Linked DNA regions of Oryza sativa Japonica Group. The protein of the gene in region 1 binds, or shares a complex with, the protein of each later gene. Links are inferred from orthologs where the notes say so. Each region holds a gene or a part of one and is shown on either strand. Other genes may lie near its edges.

Region 1 (3,510 bases):
CATTCCCACTTGAAACCAAACTATATGAACTTCTGTGACAAACCAAGTGAACCTGTCTGGTTGAAGACACCATATTTTAGCAACCCACAAGCACATTTTTGCAAACTAAATGCCCTCTATACTCTATATTTGACCCTTTATAATTCAATTATGGAGCTGTTAGCATAAACTGTCAGCTATAATAAAGTCATCATTACTTCCTTTTTCTATCTTCTTTTCTTCCAAATGCATGGTTGCCATGTCATTTCTATGCTTGAGATTTATCTTGTTTGAAAATTTAATGATCAAAGGTACACATGTCTGTAGGTTTAATTATATTATTCACTGAACAGTTATGCATTTTTACTTCAGAATACAACCACCAAGGAAAATGAGACCCTGTTGGCCATTGGGACTGCTTATGTTCTTGGGGAGGATGTAGCTGCTAGAGGACGTGTGCTTCTGTTCTCTTTCACGAAAAGTGAAAATTCTCAAAATCTGGTACTGTGAGGGAGCATTATTGCAATTGGGAAAAAGGTTATTACTTCCGTTACGTATCGATTGATTTGATAACATGTAAACACTAATTGCAGGTCACTGAAGTCTACTCAAAAGAGAGTAAAGGTGCTGTATCAGCTGTTGCGTCTCTTCAAGGTCATCTGCTGATAGCTTCTGGTCCTAAGATCACATTAAACAAGTGGACTGGTGCTGAATTGACTGCTGTTGCATTCTATGATGCCCCTTTGCATGTTGTGAGCCTGAACATTGTGAGTATTGAATAGCTTTTGGTTCAATTAATATGCTTTTAGGTTTTGAGCACGTAACTTTTGGTTTAGTTCCTGTTTTCTGTTCTCTAGGCATCATTTTTCCTCGAAAGTCCATGCATAATGCTGATAGGAACAATTAAATAGAAAGAAATAATGCATTAATTGTTTCTTCATACACAAGGCTATGTAAATAGTGGTTCCCTGAATCTGGCCTTACCTGATGTTTTAGCTTTGGAGTTTTGAGCCAACCCTGACTTCTATTGTGGAGGTTAGTATAATTGGAGCTTAATGCCTATGAGCCAGCTGGGACTTTGGATTTTCCAGTGTTCATGCATTGTACTGACTACAACTTCTTTTCTCATAACAAAGATGTACGACACAGCCACTAACTGTTCTTATTGCATGTTACAAACATAACATTAATTATATAGTGTTCCATCAGGTCATGAAAAGTTGTTTTGGATGTACGTCATGTCATCATCAATATCTTCTATAATATCTAGTTGGGGAACATAAAATTCATGTGTGTATTTGTCTTGAAAATTAGTTTCATAATATTAAAATTTATTGGGGTTATACATTAGTGGTTAAAGTTACATTTTTCTGACTGGATTTTTAAAATGACATGTTTTCCTGACCAGAAAATATTTCCCCAGCCAGAACAGTAAAACAACCAAAAAAATGTGGAGAAAATGATTAAAGTAATATTTTGATATTTTAACAATTGATATTACAGATGAATTTTTTTTTTGTGTATTTAGCTAAATGTTTTTTGCATAGTAAAAACATAGTGTGGAGTTAAAAATAAAGTAGTTACCATACTTTTGAGTTGAAGTGATATCCCTCTTACTGTTTTTTAAAAGGAGTAGGAACTGCATACTCGACCACAGGAATGACATCATCAATAGTACTACACCAAACCAAAATATCCGTCAAATGTGTGCACCATTTGGTTTCTCTCAAACTCAAGTTCTGGGAACCTGAAAACTGTTCCCTTTGATCATAACAAGAAACCTGTGCTAGCCAGTGTTAATATAGACTATAATGTATTTTTTTTATTACTAGCTAATCTGCTCATATGTTGCCATGGAATCTTAAAAAGAGAACCTTTGTCATACTACCTCAGTCCAAACTCTAAAAGTTTAGCTAAATTTAGCTATTATTATCTGGAGGGAGTACATTTTAAAGCATAAAATTGTTTAACTGTTTTAGTCAATTTTTGCCATCAGTTTCTAAATACATGCTGAGCTAGGCAGGGGCACAGAGCACTGTTGCTTCATGATGAAAAACTGACGCAAGTCTTTTTTTCATTCACTTTCTGGATGCCTGCTGAATTAATCATCTTCTCTATTTAATGTGAATTCATGTTATTTAGGTGCAATACAGGTCAGTACAATTCTGCTTGTGAGGGCAAAAAGACACAAACATATGCACATTGCATAATAAGTTATGACAATTCAGTCCTTAATAAATTGATTTCTATCAATACAGCACTGCTGTGATATCAGGCAGGCCGGCTACACTCTCGTACACCAGCAGGAAAGGCCTGGCCCATTTACAACTTGCTAACCTTAACTCCCATTTACACCTGCCAGCGGCCTGCAGCTTGCACCATTCGTTGCGTCCTCTCCTCCCTCTATGAGCTGGACCACGCCATGCTTCCTCCCTTCTCCAACGTTGCCACTCCTATCTCCTCCATTCTCAAGCGCCATCGGCGCCAGCCCCTGGCCCTCTCCAGCACCACCTGCCTCCAGTCCCTTCTTTGGCGAGTCTATCTAGCAGGGTCACGTCTGCAATTCTGTCCCCTTCCCCTAGTACGATTTATTCCCGTCCCCTTCCTCTCCCTCTAGCAAGTGAACCGGCAGCGCCGAGCCCGGGACCACCAGATCCGCTCAACCTGAGCGCTATGGTGCTCTTTGAGCAGCAGCAGCAACAAAACAGCCAACAAGCGGTGCGTTGTGGTGGAATTGACCATGGCGGAAGGATTCAAGCATTGGCGAAGCACGCTCAGCTACCGTGCTGCCCCGCCAAATTGACAAACAGTGGTGAGTCTCTGCACTGCTGTACAAATACAGTGGCATCAGAAGCTGGCGCCCTGCCAGATCCAAGCATGGGCGGCACAATTCCTGTTGCGAGTTCCATGGGCAATGTCCAAGGCAAGGAGGTGAACGGGGGAGTAGGCGAGGATTCCCGTTCCCCTCCTATGGATCTGTGGTCCCCACATGTCAGAAGGTTGGTGGCAGAACCACCACCACCACCACTAACATTTAAAGTAGTATAGATTTCTTGTACTTGGTGGGTGCATTTCCAATGCTACCTTTTGCATATTTAAATTAAGAGAAAATCTATTCTATGCCATTGAGTTTGTCCTGGTTCAACAATTTGCCATTGACTACCTCTTTCTATAACATACCACTGAGCATATCAATTGTTCTACAATATTTCTTAGAAAAATGCCTTTATAGACATAAGATTAACAATCGATTTATCCCATCCGAAATTTCAAAAAATAATGATGTTGTTTTGTGTAGCCTCGTTACGCAGCATAATAGTTTGTTTATAAGTTTCAAATTTTTGCATTACTATTATTTTATAAGATATAATTTATGTGTTATATGCTACTTCCTCCGTTTCACAATGTAAGACTTTCTAGCATTGCTCACATTCATTTAGATGTTAATGAATCTAGACATATGTATGTGTTTAGATTCATTAACATCTACATATATGTGGGCAATGCTAGAAAGTCTTACATTGTGAAACG
Region 2 (4,113 bases), on another chromosome or scaffold:
AAGGAGAAAGTAATAGAGGAAACATGTCTATTGGGCTGTTGAAATGTAAAATAATAAGCTCATCATGAATCTTCAGGCTTGCAATGCATAGCAATTGTCAATATGCACAGAATAAAACAAAACGATGAACTGAAAAAAAGGAAAGTAACAAGAATCATTCGTACTTTAATAGGAAGGCATTGTCTCTAGTGTGTTCAAAAGACTTTGAGATTGAATCATTCATCCATTCAAGAAAACTCTTGACATAATCAACAGTACTCGTAGAAACATTTGTCAGAAAGTAGATAGGGTAGATCAAATGCCGTTGAGCCCAGTACTGCAATAAATCAAGACAAAAGGTGAACATATTATTGACATAACAAAATAAAACAGTACGAGAACAAGACCTTCAAGATTTCACCTGCTCCAATATCAAAAGAATTTCAAGAACTCTACCAGCTGTATCAATCGGCAGTAACACACTACCACCACCAGTTAGAACTTTCACTAATGCATCTGCATGAAACAGGATGTCAATTAGACATCACAAGAGGATTCCCATACAGTAACTAAAACAAACCATATACACGATAACATATATTTGGAGTCTAAAATATTAATAGTTTATTATTGAACTCAACAATGTGTAGCACTAAAAAATAATTGAGAAATAAAAAAAGTTGTGTCCAAGTTGCAAATTTGGAAAATAGAAGATATATTCATCAGTGCTACTTTGATGGAGAAAACATAAGTAAAAAACAGCTTCCAACAAAATTATCATGAGCTGTTACCTGCAACCATGGCTGTGTGGGTATAGTAGTAATGCTAGAGCTGAAAGCATTTGAAAAAGAGATAGAGATAGAGAGCTATGATAATAACATGTCCAGTGTTGTACCAATGAAATCTTGATCCTGCTGCCTTTTGTAGACATGGTTGTTCAAGGCATTGTATGCATCAGTTATCAGAACAGCTGGCCGTACAAATGATCCAAGAGCAGTACCATTCAAATGCCTGGAAAAGCACATTGCTGTTATTATTTGCTAATAAAGAGAAAACTAAAATGACAAGTAAATGACAAAGGAAGGATTTAACCTCTCTTTACGATGGTTGAAGTCAACAGCATAAACAACATCCTCCCCATCTTTTGTTATCTTCCATACCGTGCCACCCAAATCATGCCCAGCAACATGTGGAGCAATAACTATTCCTTCACCTTTATCTGCCAATCAATAGTATGTAAGGGGATGTAATTTAGCAAAGGATATACATCAACAGCATGCTTACTGACCATTCAAAAGGTGGTTCTGTGAGTACTTCAATCTAACAACATTTTGGAATGCAGCATCAATATCGTCCAAAGTAAACAAGTCAAAATCTGAAACTTGCTGCAAAGGAAAATAAAGAATGGTTAGATCCACTATATGCAATGAAACAAACAAGAGGTTAAAATGGACACTAGAAAGCTTACCCGTCGTGATATAAAGTAATCATACAAGGTTAAAATGCCAAGTCTAAATACAGGTTCTGTGGCATATACTGGTGCAGATAGTCCGAGATGTTTCATAGCATATGGCAAAGCTCCTAGATGCATGGTATCGGCATGAGACAAAAGAACTGCATCTATTGTTGGTGCAACCCTGAAAAAAAAATACTGATCAAATTCATAATCCATAAAAATACTGAAACATGTTCAAGTGTTCCCTTCAATCTTTACAGATGTGTAATTTGAATAATTGAACAACAAAGATCATGGGAGCTTAAAATGGAACTTTTGCATGATTTTGAGGCTACTAGTACCAAGCTGGTGAGATAATTGCTACTAAATCTATGCCATGATTACTCAACAATCAAGGAAGACGAACAAGAATAAGTTTATTCAGCATAGAAAAATAAATATAAATATGAGTCAGAGTTCAACCTGAAAGCAGGCTATCTATTACAGGGAGGCAAAAAATTGCCTTGATCATGCCACTCTATAATTGCCTTAAGATAGATATTCACCATTTAAGCAAATGAAAGCAATTACTGAAGGTTCCATGTAAAAACCACATGAAATGTTGAGGGGCAACGCCCAGTAAGACAAGCTTGAGAAGCAATATTAAGCACGGTTTAGAAACTCGAGCTACATCTTTGGCACATACTAATTAACAATTAAGGTCATACATAAACAACACATCAGTAAGTAGTCCATATGGTATGTATGCAGGATCATGGGCACAATGTAGAAGTGCATATGCGTTCGTGCACACGGACCCACCAACACAAGTGCATAACATGCACCAAGCCTGACTATGCACAAGCACACCCGAACACCTGTCGGACTCAGCAATTCAGTTGAGGCAAATCAATCTCCTAAACCGACGATCTCATTCGTTACATAGCAACACAGATAACCCTAAGATGACAAAATCACAGCAGAGCCGGAGAACCCTTCACTGTCTCCAAGTGTAGGCAATTGAACGAGCAGGTGGCGCGCATGGCAACCCCATCCCCATCCCATCCGAACTCATCGCAGCATGCGGCAAAGGAGAAAGACTAGCACCAAAGCAGCTGACCCCGACTAGCCAAGAGGAGAGTTAGGGCGAAAATGGTGGAAGCGTACTTGGCGAGGGGTTGGAGGTGGGAGGGGTCGCAGAGGTCGGTCCAGCCGCAGTCGAGGAGGAAGCGGAAGCCATCGACGGCGAGCAGGTAGCAGAGGGGTCCCTCACCGTACGCGCCACTCAACGGAGTCACCTGCACCGACGTCCCCATCCGATCGATCCCCTTCGCCGGCGGCGGCGGCGGCGGCGGCGGCGAGCAAGAAGTGGAATGAGAGAGAAAGAGTCCAAGTGTAGTAGTTGGGCCGCTCGAGAGGCTTATGCAGAAAAACTGTACATGGGCCGGGCTGAGGCCCATATACTTCCTCTTTTGTGTTGGTTTCCTTCACTTTCCTACTCGAGGCCGACGGAGCGTTGCGTCCGCCGCCGCCATTGTCACTCTCGTCTCCATCTGCGTCTCCGTCTTCGTCTCCGGCCAGCGAGCCCCTTTTCGCCGGCGACCTAGAAGCGAGAAATCCCAACAAATACACATCCAGAGAACCGGCTCGGCTCTGTCGCCTTCCCCTTTCCTGGGTGTTGGCTTGTTTGGTTGGATCTAAGCAAAGGCCTAACCGCGGCGATCTTCCGCCTCCCATCCCATGGACGGCGCGAGCGGCAGCGGGGAGCCGACGGCCAACGGGGAGAAGAAGCCCGACGAGCAACACTTCGATCCCAGCCGAAGTAAGGGTCTCTCTCTTTCTCACGCACCTTTAATTTTTGTTACCTTTTGTGTTCGTGCTCTAGATTTGGTTACTCCTATTCGGTACTAGAGTATAACAAATCACGACTCATACTGATTTGCTTTAGAGGGTTCAGGTTTTGTAAACTAGTATTGCTAACTAACAATTCGCCACGAATCAAATTGGAAATCTCACAGTCACACGAAATAAACATCTGCTGCACAACTAGGAATGCACAAAGATCCTATCAAATGCCATGGCCATGGCCTCAATTTTCGTAGCCCTTGGTCCATAATTCAGTTCACTTATAAAGCTTTCTGAGAGATGTGCATAGGATGGTAATTCTTGAACCAACATCTCAGTTTATTCGGGATGGAGTAAGTCTAGTATGTTGCAAAAAATTTGACTCTATATAAATGATTGGAGCAGGTATCCTATCCTACCAGATACTGAATAGAAGTACAATTGTTATGCATGTACTAGCTACCTTGCTAGTATATTGTCATGAGTGAGTTATGAAATGTCAAAGCTTTATCTCTCCATGATTTTCACATGGTACACTGGCCTCATTATAGTATTAGAGATATATTGAGTTCTGTTGATGCATTGCTTGCAAAATCTAAAAAACATTTTTCATTTGTAAAATAGTTGCCAGCATTCTTGTGCTTGTATATAATGCCATGGTGTTTTGAAGTGATAGGAATAATCAAAAGGAAGGCCTTGATTAAAGAACTGGCTGCTGCTTACCATGCTGAGTGTGTGGCATGCTGTAAAGAGCTTTTGCAGCTCCAGAAAAAGTGGGAGGAGGTCTGTATCTGTCCTTCTCCAAAATGGCAGATAATCCCGTGATTTACATTCCTCGCATTATTTTCAAACGG
Region 3 (4,249 bases), on another chromosome or scaffold:
CTCATCATGTGCAGACAGGTAATGCTACTAAGTTCATCTAGGAAACATTGGACACGTTTAAGCGTAACTTTAACGCCTTCAGCTCAAGAAGATATAAGCGGGATTGGTCTCACAGCACCCTGTATACGACGGAATGCAGTCTTGATCCTTTCTCTCAGTGTAGCATTTTCACATTCAACACCACCACTCCTCCCATCCAAGTGTGCTACTTGTCCATCCACAGATATAACAAGTTTCCCTTCCTCTGCAACTTTGACATCACCAAAAAGTGACACCATAAGAGCATAAACTACCTTCTGGGCCACCCTTTCCGTCTCTTCCTGTGTCTTCACTGCTTCTTCAACTGGGACAACTTTGGGACCTTCACGGCCTATGTTCAAGACCATGGCGACCACAGAATCAGACACCATATCACTGATAGGATCAGACGACCACTGCAATGTAACATAGCTTTCTGATTCCAGGCGAATGGTCACTCTCTCATGCACAATCAATGTTGGAACATCAGACTCCTCTGTTGATGACTCCACGCTCTCATATATTTGCTTCAGTCTGTACTTTATGACTTCAAAAGAACCAGAATATGGGACGGCAATCCTTTGGGTAATGTTAGCTGTAGATAGCTGCGTGTACACACGGAGATCCTCAGGAGCCATAATTTGATATGTGAATCCCTTCTTTACAAGCAAGCCATTAACTGATTCTCCAGCTTCCGGTACCTTTTCAGCCAACCTGCCAATTGTCTTGGCCATTTTCTCAGAACTGAAATACATCTCCACTGATTGGCAATTCTTGGGGTTAACAACTTTTATATTTGTCCCATCAAACTGAGAAATAAGCTTCTGCTTAAGTCTTGACATCTCATTTGCTTCCCCGTGTACAAGAACAATGTTGGGTGGCTGGAGCTCATCCAAGAAGGTGCTTGTCTGAGGGAAATCAGCATGAGCAGAAAAGGAAATATAGTGGACCTGCATATGAAGAGGAGCAGTGAGCCCATTCGCCAGTGTCACTTCTCTTGGCTCGTTAATAATGGTCTTTGCAAGGGTGCCTTCCACAACATAACCTGGAATAACACATGAATTCTTCTTATCTGTGCACCATTTGTCAAAGAGCTGCCTGGAGAGGCCACTCTGGAGACCACCTGGGCTTGCCATAACCACTGATGGACCCACATCATGAAAGTTATCTATGCTATTCAAAGACTCAATATGCTTGAAATGGAAGGGATTAGATTGTGCAAACTGGTTCCTAATCCTTTCATTCATGGAGTTGATGTATGTCTGGTAGACAGCCATGCATTTCTTGGCAAGAGGGGAGGCATAATAGATTGGAATCTTATGGAGCTCTGGGTGGTTGGCCCAATACTCATCCAGGATAAGTAGCAGCTCTTGAGCTCTTCCAAGAGCAAAGGCTGGGATAAGAACGCGACCACCCTGCGAGACGGTCGTGTGTATTACATCAGTGAAGCGCTTCTCTCGTACATGGCGGGGTTGGTGCTGCTGCACGCCATAAGTTGACTCGATAATGCAAATATCAGGGGAGAACTGGGGAAGTTCAGCAGCTTTCAGGTGGCGATCTTCCTCACGGGAGTAGTCACCAGTGTAAAGAACGCGAACCCCAGCAATGTCCACCATGAACATTGCAGCGCCAAGTACATGGCCAGCAGTATAGCACCAGAAGCGTATGCCATTAACTTCCAATGTCTGGTGGAAGTCTATGACCTGCAAGGCATTTTTATGTTAACAAAAGTATTCATTCACTCCATGAAATACATACAAGCTTTCGATCATCACAAGAAGAATCAACAATATGCTATATGGAAGGAAATGGTCAATGTTTACAAAGCAACAATCAGATGTTACAGGTTTCTCAGTTGATTATCAACCATCTAGAGGATTTCTGTCCATTCAAATTTGTTCTAACATATGCATTTGAAAGGGGTCGACAAAGTGCTGTACTGCTATATAGGCAATTTAAATCCATTCAGGGAGATAAAATACCTCAATTTTATCCATGGAACGAAGAATGTCTTGCTCGTCAAACAGCATATCCTCCACAGAAACTTTGCTGACTTTGACATAATCGGAAAGGAGCAGCCTGTAGATGGCCTTTGTGGCATGGGTCATGAACACGCGCCCCTTGAATGTCGTCTGCAAATAAAACCAGAGCAACTTGAGGATGCTGAATGGTATCAGGGCAATAGCTGAGCACTTACTGTCGAAGCAAAAAAACGGAAGATGGTGGAACATTACCTTCTCCAAGAAGTAGGGAAGAGAGGCAGCATGGTCCAAGTGAAAGCTGCAAATTTTAAGGGCGAAGTTAAGCAAGAGACGCACAGATTTGACAGAAGGGGCAAAGAAAATAAAAGAAAAAGGGTGAAAAGAGAGTGGGGGGAATAAGTACTGGGTGATTAGGAGGACATCAATGGTGGAGGGATCGATCTCATCGAAGTAGGGGAGCGCCGCCATGCCGGAGTAAGCCGGGTGGATGCCGCAATCGAACTATCCAAGAATCCAAACCACACCACACCACATGACAAACAAAAGCAGAAATTATCATAAAAAAGAAAGCAGTGGAAGCTAGGGTTTGGAGGGAAAGAGTGGGGGGATTGGATGCTCACGAGGACGGTGCGGCCCTTGAATGACATGTAGACGCAGGAGCGGCCGACCTCGTTGCCGGCGCCCAGCGGAGTGATGATGAGCTGGTCTCCCTCCCGCCCGCCGGAGGCCTGCCGCTTCCCCGGCGGCCCCCCGGCGGTCGGTGCGGCGGCGGCGGCGACGGACGACGCCATTTTCCCCTTCACTTGCTGACGAGCGGAGAAGGAAAGACCTTTTAGGGCTTTGGACACGGCGGACTCGAAGCAGGCTGAATTAAGTTGGGCCCGGAAGGGCTTGCAGTCCAAGCAGCCCTGGAGCTGGACAGTAAGTTCACTTTAGCTCCCTTAACCAATCTAATTTGTATCTTGAACCGCAATTACCGGGATTTCTAGCCCTCGGCCCTTCGCCGCCAACACTGCTCCAGATCCTGCACCGAAGTGGAGAGGAAGAGAAACATAGAGAGAGAAGGGAGAAAGAGGGAAGAGCAAGAAGGATAGAGGGGAGATGGCACGGGGGCCTCATATTTTTTATTGTGTGAATGACGAATGGGGCTCACACACATATTTTTTTTTAATTCTAATGCCATCTAAACTCCATGTCAACACTCACGTCCGTGAAACCGTCCTCCAAAACTGCTGAGGGAGTCAAATTGCATCGGTTTTAATAGTTGAGGGATCAAGATATCCCATATTGGAGTTGAAGGAAACGAATTATATTGGTTGAGATATCATGGAGCTGGAGCATAACTTTAGCACAACTCAGCTCCAGCTTCACGTCTTCTAGAGCTAGAGCCTAGCCTAACAATTTCAGTTCCAACTTAAATGGATCAGAGTTGGATGGGGAACTCTCACAAAATGAACTAGAGATGTAGAGCTGGGTTTAGACTGCTCCACAACTAAATTCTAGACCTAACGTCTGGAGCTAAATTTAGGAGTTGGAGCTCTACCAAATAGACCCAGAGAAATTCGATAGCAGGCATGGAGCTAGCCCATCGAGCTAGACTAATGGGGAGAAGAAGTTGAGTCGTGCAGGCTTGACGTACGCAACCGTCCTTGCATTGATCTATAGGTGTCTTAGGTGGTGTTTGGATCCAAGGGCTAAAATTTTAGTCTCTATCACATCGGATGTTTTTGACACTAATAAGAAGTATTAAACTTAGACTAATAATAAAACTAATTGTATAAATGAGAGCTAATTCGCGAGATAAATTTTTAAGCCTAATTAATCCATAATTACCACATGTTTACCGTAGCATCACATAGACTAATCATGGATTAATTAGGCTCAATAGATTTATCTCGCGAATTAGTCCAGGTATGGTATGAGTTTTGTCATTAATTTACATTTAATACTTCTAATGAGTGTCTAAATATCCGATGTGATAGGGACTAAAATTTTAGTCCCTGATCCAAACAACCCGTTAGATTCGAGGGCTAGTTTATTCAGTTTGAGGAATTTTAATCCATAGAAATAGGAAAGTGAAAAAAAAATAAATGCACGTATCAATTCATATGAATTTTTTCAAAAGATTTGAGTGAACGGAAGTCTTCCTATGTTTTTTCTCTACAACTTAAAGGAAAAGAAAAAATTCGTTTGGTTTTCCTATAACTTATTTATACAAACCGAATGGGAACTGTAGAAATTATTTTTGG
Region 4 (4,193 bases), on another chromosome or scaffold:
TTCGGAGTTTCAAGGCAATCTTAATTTGTTTTCCACATTACAGCAGTGTATCACTTCTGATTATGGAAGTTTCAAACAGCATACTCCAAAGGACATTTTTCCAAAAGGATCCTACTCTTAACCATTAAATTAAATGCATCATCACATATAATTAAGAGAGGAGTGGTGAGTACCTGTGCTCTTCCAAGAGCAAATGCTGGAATTAGAACTTTACCACCTCCAGAAACACACTTATGGACCTAGATAAAATACGCTCTCATTAAAGTGATGAATTTACTAAGTAGAAATTTGCAAGTAAAGATTATAAAGATTCAATGTGTCAACACAATCAACATGATTCAAGTATCAGAACTTGAAAAAGGGATAAACTCTTGGCTAATAACAAGTTGTACTTAGTATTTTGTGAGCATGAACTCCCTGGAGGTATTCATGCCATAGAAATGTACAAAACTACTTAAGTTTGCACAATGCTACAAGCCCAACCATCAGCATCGATAAATGTAACACATATCTTGCATCACCAAGGGGATTGCATAAGTGTTACAAAAGAAACCAAATAAAAAAAGCCCCAATAAAATTGGTAGTGTGAAGGTTCAGGTTTCATACTGCTTTTAAGAACTCCCTCTCTCGGGCATGCTTCGAGTCACGCACAGTTTTAGCATATGTTGATCTGCAGATAAAACTTCAGTTTAATACTTACACATTGAACATAAAACAGATACACCAAAGAACTGCACCTCAAATTCCGTATTGGTAAAACATTAAGACAACAGTACAGAACAAGGTAGACCATAATTCCATAAAAACCAAATATGGATTATATTAAAACGAAACATCACAAGAAAAATTTAGCAAAATACACCTACCTAATCATTAACTACAAAGGAGATTTCCAACTACATACAGGTCAAAGCAGAGGTTAACAACAGAAACCGGATACTGGTTTACTGGTACGTAGCTGTGTGGAAAACCTGATATCATAAAGATAGTTAATGGACACACAAGCACGCGCGCAAGCGCACACAAAAGATAAAAGAGCTATAAGAAACAAGACAGCAAAATTACTGCTAAAACATACCAAAGAACCTAATCCTGAGTGGCAATGATTCACTACAAGTCTACAACTACATCACTGGGTCAACATTTCAAAAGGAAAACATGATGCACAAGAGCATAACTATAATTTGAATTTGTAGCATACTCTGTTATCAACAGATCTAACTTCAGACGATCAATTTGCGCTGCTCCAAGGTGCCTATCTGGTGTCATATTGTAATCTCCAGTGTACACAATAGCAGCATCTCCAACTTTTGCATATATCATTGCAGCCCCTAGAACCTTGCATGTGGAAGAATGATGACTAATTAAGAAAGTACAGAACAACATTAATATTAATTTTCCAAGAATTTAAAAAATAACACTGCAGTTAATATGGGACAGAAAAGTATACAGCACATACATGTCCAGCATAATAGGCACGGATCGAAAGGTCCTTATCTACTTGAATGGTCTGCTTCAGGTCCAATGGTATAACTGAAATGTCCAATGAAATAACCAAATGAGAACTATCGTACATGCATACCTGTGTGCCAGCACAATATCTAAGTAGACTAGTAAAAGATATGTGAAAAGTGAACACAGAACATTTACCTTTCCTCATACAGCGTAGGATGTCTTCATAGCTATATTGCTCTTCCTCTCCTCTATGATCTACCATTACTTTCCGATAGTCTTCCAGCATCAATGGAGCTAAAGCCTTTGTCGGGTACTGCTTGAGGTACAACGATTTAAGTTATGAGATGAAGATCAATCACTCAGCAAGAGAAATCAAGCTTTCACATGCTACCGATGGACAATATCAGTTCACAGCACATCTCCTTTTGCGTATTATATACTTTGACAAGATCATCTCAATAAGATCAACAAGTTCACTGAACCCCTAGACCATCAAACATATTTACGCAGGACCATGACCACTATTAAGTACTGCAGTGACAGCCACAACTCACAAGCTCAATGGATATTAGTATTTGATAGCTAAGATGAATAAAAATCCAACCTATGACAAGTTAATTTGAAATTCAACCTCACTATAGCCCCTTTTTTTTTAATGAAACCCCATTCTACCTGGAACGGATACACCAAAGCTGCGCAATCATAATACTGAACAAATAAACATGAACTGGTTAGTGGTTACAACTCACCGTCATGTAAACTGGACCGTGGTAACCGCAGACCTCGGTGAAGTACGGCAGTGCTCCGATATGATCCAAATGGCTGCAACGCACAAACTTCACAAAGCTATTAACCGTGCAAGCAAACTGGATATGCTGCTACAGATCAAATTCGATTCAATTCAATTCGATTTTTGGCAGACGCACAAGTGGGTGATGACGACGCAGGAGATGGCGGCGGTGTAGTCGGCGGCGCCGTCGGCGAGGAGGCGGTCGAAGTCCGGGTAGCGGCGGCTGTCGCGGTGGCCCATGTGCATGCCGCAGTCGAACATGACGCGCTTCCCGCCGCCGAAGGTGACCACCACGCAGCTCTTCCCCACCTCCTGCCCCGCCCCTGCGCCATCGCCATCAATCCACGCGTGGTTCCCATCAATCAACCCGTGCGAGAAGAGGAACTCGAGGAGGACGAAGGGTACCTAGCACGAGGCACTCGATGGCCATGCCGCCGCCGCCGCCGCCGCCGCTTCTCCCCTCTCCCGGCGCCGCTCCACGCCGGAATCCCTCAACCACGCCTCCGTTGCCTCTCCGCCGCCTTCCTCGCCGCGCCGCCGAGGAGGGCGTGCGGCTGGTTGGGCTTGCCGGCTAGAAGAGTTGGGCTTTTGTGGGCCTCGGCCCAGTTCTCAGTAAGCCCATATCAGTGTGAGCCCATGGGCCCTGCTTGTCAGAGCCCAGTCAAACGCTTTATCTGCATATTAAGCCCATATCAATCTTGGCCCACCAAAAAGCCCAGCCGCTGCTTACTTTGGTCTCACTCTAGTCCCGTTCTTTTCTCCGACAAGAGTTGGATGAAGATTAACGGCATGTTCACTTTGAAGCCATTTTTAACCTTACCAAATTTTAGTAAAGTTACTAAAAAAGTGGCTACATTTAGTTTGTTGTCAAATTTTAGTAATTATATAAGAAATCCTACTAAAATTTTAGCAAGTTGTTGCCAAAATTTTGGTATTACTAAAATTTAGTAAGGTTTTTTTTGGCATAAAGTGAACAGGCCCTAAGATTTTCGTGGCACGCTTTCAAACTGATAAACGGCTCGTTTCGTGCGAAAAAACTTTATATATAAAAGTTGCTCTAAAATATCATATTAATTTATTTTTCAAATTTGTAATAATTAAAGCTCAATCGAATATACGTTAATACCACATCATTTTACATAAAAAAAAACTTAATATTCATTTTTATCTTCAGGGGATTCAATGATGAATATAAAGATGAATGTGAAAATTAAGTGTTTCACGTAAAACGAGATGATAATAACGTAAGATTAATTGAGTTTTAATTATTGCAAACTTGAAAAATGGATTAATCTGATATTTTAGAACAACTTTCATATAGAAAATTCTTGCACAAAACACATCGTTTAACGGTTTAAAAAGCGTGCCACGAATATCCAAAACTTAATCCACTTTTTTTAAGTGGAAACGAATGGAGCCTAGTCAACTCGCCCACGTGGACCAATTGTTCATCGAGAAAATCCCACCCTCTTCTTCCTCCTCCGAATTTTCCCAATTTTTTTTTGCTCTTTCCACGAGGCGACGACGGCGACGATGAGCGCGGCGGCGGAGGACGTGGTGCACAGCGGCGGGTGCCACTGCGGTCGAAGTCCGGGTAGCGGCGGTTGTCGTGGTGGCCCATGTGCATGCCGCAGTCGAACATGACGCGCTTCTCACCGCCGAAGGTGACCACCACACAGCTCTTCCCTACCTCCTACCCCGCCCCTGCGCCATCGCCATCGCCATCAATCCACGCATCATTCCCATCAATCAATCAAATCCGTGCGAGAAGCGGAGAGGGAGAGAGAGGAGTGGAGGACGACGAAGGGTACCTAGCACAAGGCACTCGATGTCCATGGCGCCGCCGCCGCTTCTACCCTCTCCCCCGGCGCTGCTCCACGCCAGAATCCCTCAACCACGCCTCAGTTGCCTCTCCGCCGCCTTCCTCGCCGCGCCGCCGCCACCGCCA

Evidence for each region. Proteins that work in one complex are often made in the same cells at the same time.
Region 2: probable cleavage and polyadenylation specificity factor subunit 1 (region 1) and cleavage and polyadenylation specificity factor subunit 2 share a complex: the UniProt entries of both Arabidopsis thaliana proteins name them as parts of the CPSF complex. The link is inferred for Oryza sativa Japonica Group from reciprocal best matches to the Arabidopsis thaliana genes CPSF160 and CPSF100.
Region 3: probable cleavage and polyadenylation specificity factor subunit 1 (region 1) and cleavage and polyadenylation specificity factor subunit 3-I share a complex: the UniProt entries of both Arabidopsis thaliana proteins name them as parts of the CPSF complex. The link is inferred for Oryza sativa Japonica Group from reciprocal best matches to the Arabidopsis thaliana genes CPSF160 and CPSF73-I.
Region 4: probable cleavage and polyadenylation specificity factor subunit 1 (region 1) and cleavage and polyadenylation specificity factor subunit 3-II share a complex: the UniProt entries of both Arabidopsis thaliana proteins name them as parts of the CPSF complex. The link is inferred for Oryza sativa Japonica Group from reciprocal best matches to the Arabidopsis thaliana genes CPSF160 and CPSF73-II.

Annotation. Positions count from the first base shown.
Region 1 is NC_089038.1:10,090,534-10,094,043, reverse strand, and holds part of probable cleavage and polyadenylation specificity factor subunit 1, read left to right. Parts: intron 1-351; coding exon 352-480; intron 481-572; coding exon 573-746; intron 747-3,510. UniProt on the Arabidopsis thaliana protein: CPSF plays a key role in pre-mRNA 3'-end formation, recognizing the AAUAAA signal sequence and interacting with poly(A)polymerase and other factors to bring about cleavage and poly(A) addition.
Region 2 is NC_089043.1:27,169,918-27,174,030, forward strand, and holds the start of cleavage and polyadenylation specificity factor subunit 2, read right to left. Parts: upstream 2,806-4,113; 5' UTR 2,731-2,805; coding exon 2,582-2,730; intron 1,617-2,581; coding exon 1,448-1,616; intron 1,365-1,447; coding exon 1,268-1,364; intron 1,199-1,267; coding exon 1,072-1,198; intron 991-1,071; coding exon 875-990; intron 496-874; coding exon 401-495; intron 317-400; coding exon 165-316; intron 1-164. Other genes in the region: uncharacterized LOC9271620, read left to right, coding at 3,155-3,236, 3,930-4,042. UniProt on the Arabidopsis thaliana protein: CPSF plays a key role in pre-mRNA 3'-end formation, recognizing the AAUAAA signal sequence and interacting with poly(A)polymerase and other factors to bring about cleavage and poly(A) addition. Required for antisense-RNA-mediated gene silencing.
Region 3 is NC_089037.1:36,887,666-36,891,914, forward strand, and holds the start of cleavage and polyadenylation specificity factor subunit 3-I, read right to left. Parts: upstream 2,806-4,249; 5' UTR 2,792-2,805; coding exon 2,621-2,791; intron 2,502-2,620; coding exon 2,404-2,501; intron 2,299-2,403; coding exon 2,253-2,298; intron 2,151-2,252; coding exon 2,001-2,150; intron 1,722-2,000; coding exon 84-1,721; 3' UTR 1-83. UniProt on the Arabidopsis thaliana protein: Component of the cleavage and polyadenylation specificity factor (CPSF) complex that play a key role in pre-mRNA 3'-end formation, recognizing the AAUAAA signal sequence and interacting with poly(A) polymerase and other factors to bring about cleavage and poly(A) addition.
Region 4 is NC_089043.1:18,259,392-18,263,584, reverse strand, and holds the start of cleavage and polyadenylation specificity factor subunit 3-II, read right to left. Parts: upstream 2,806-4,193; 5' UTR 2,676-2,805; coding exon 2,651-2,675; intron 2,569-2,650; coding exon 2,382-2,568; intron 2,278-2,381; coding exon 2,205-2,277; intron 1,769-2,204; coding exon 1,651-1,768; intron 1,534-1,650; coding exon 1,460-1,533; intron 1,339-1,459; coding exon 1,202-1,338; intron 671-1,201; coding exon 607-670; intron 240-606; coding exon 174-239; intron 1-173. UniProt on the Arabidopsis thaliana protein: Component of the cleavage and polyadenylation specificity factor (CPSF) complex that play a key role in pre-mRNA 3'-end formation, recognizing the AAUAAA signal sequence and interacting with poly(A) polymerase and other factors to bring about cleavage and poly(A) addition.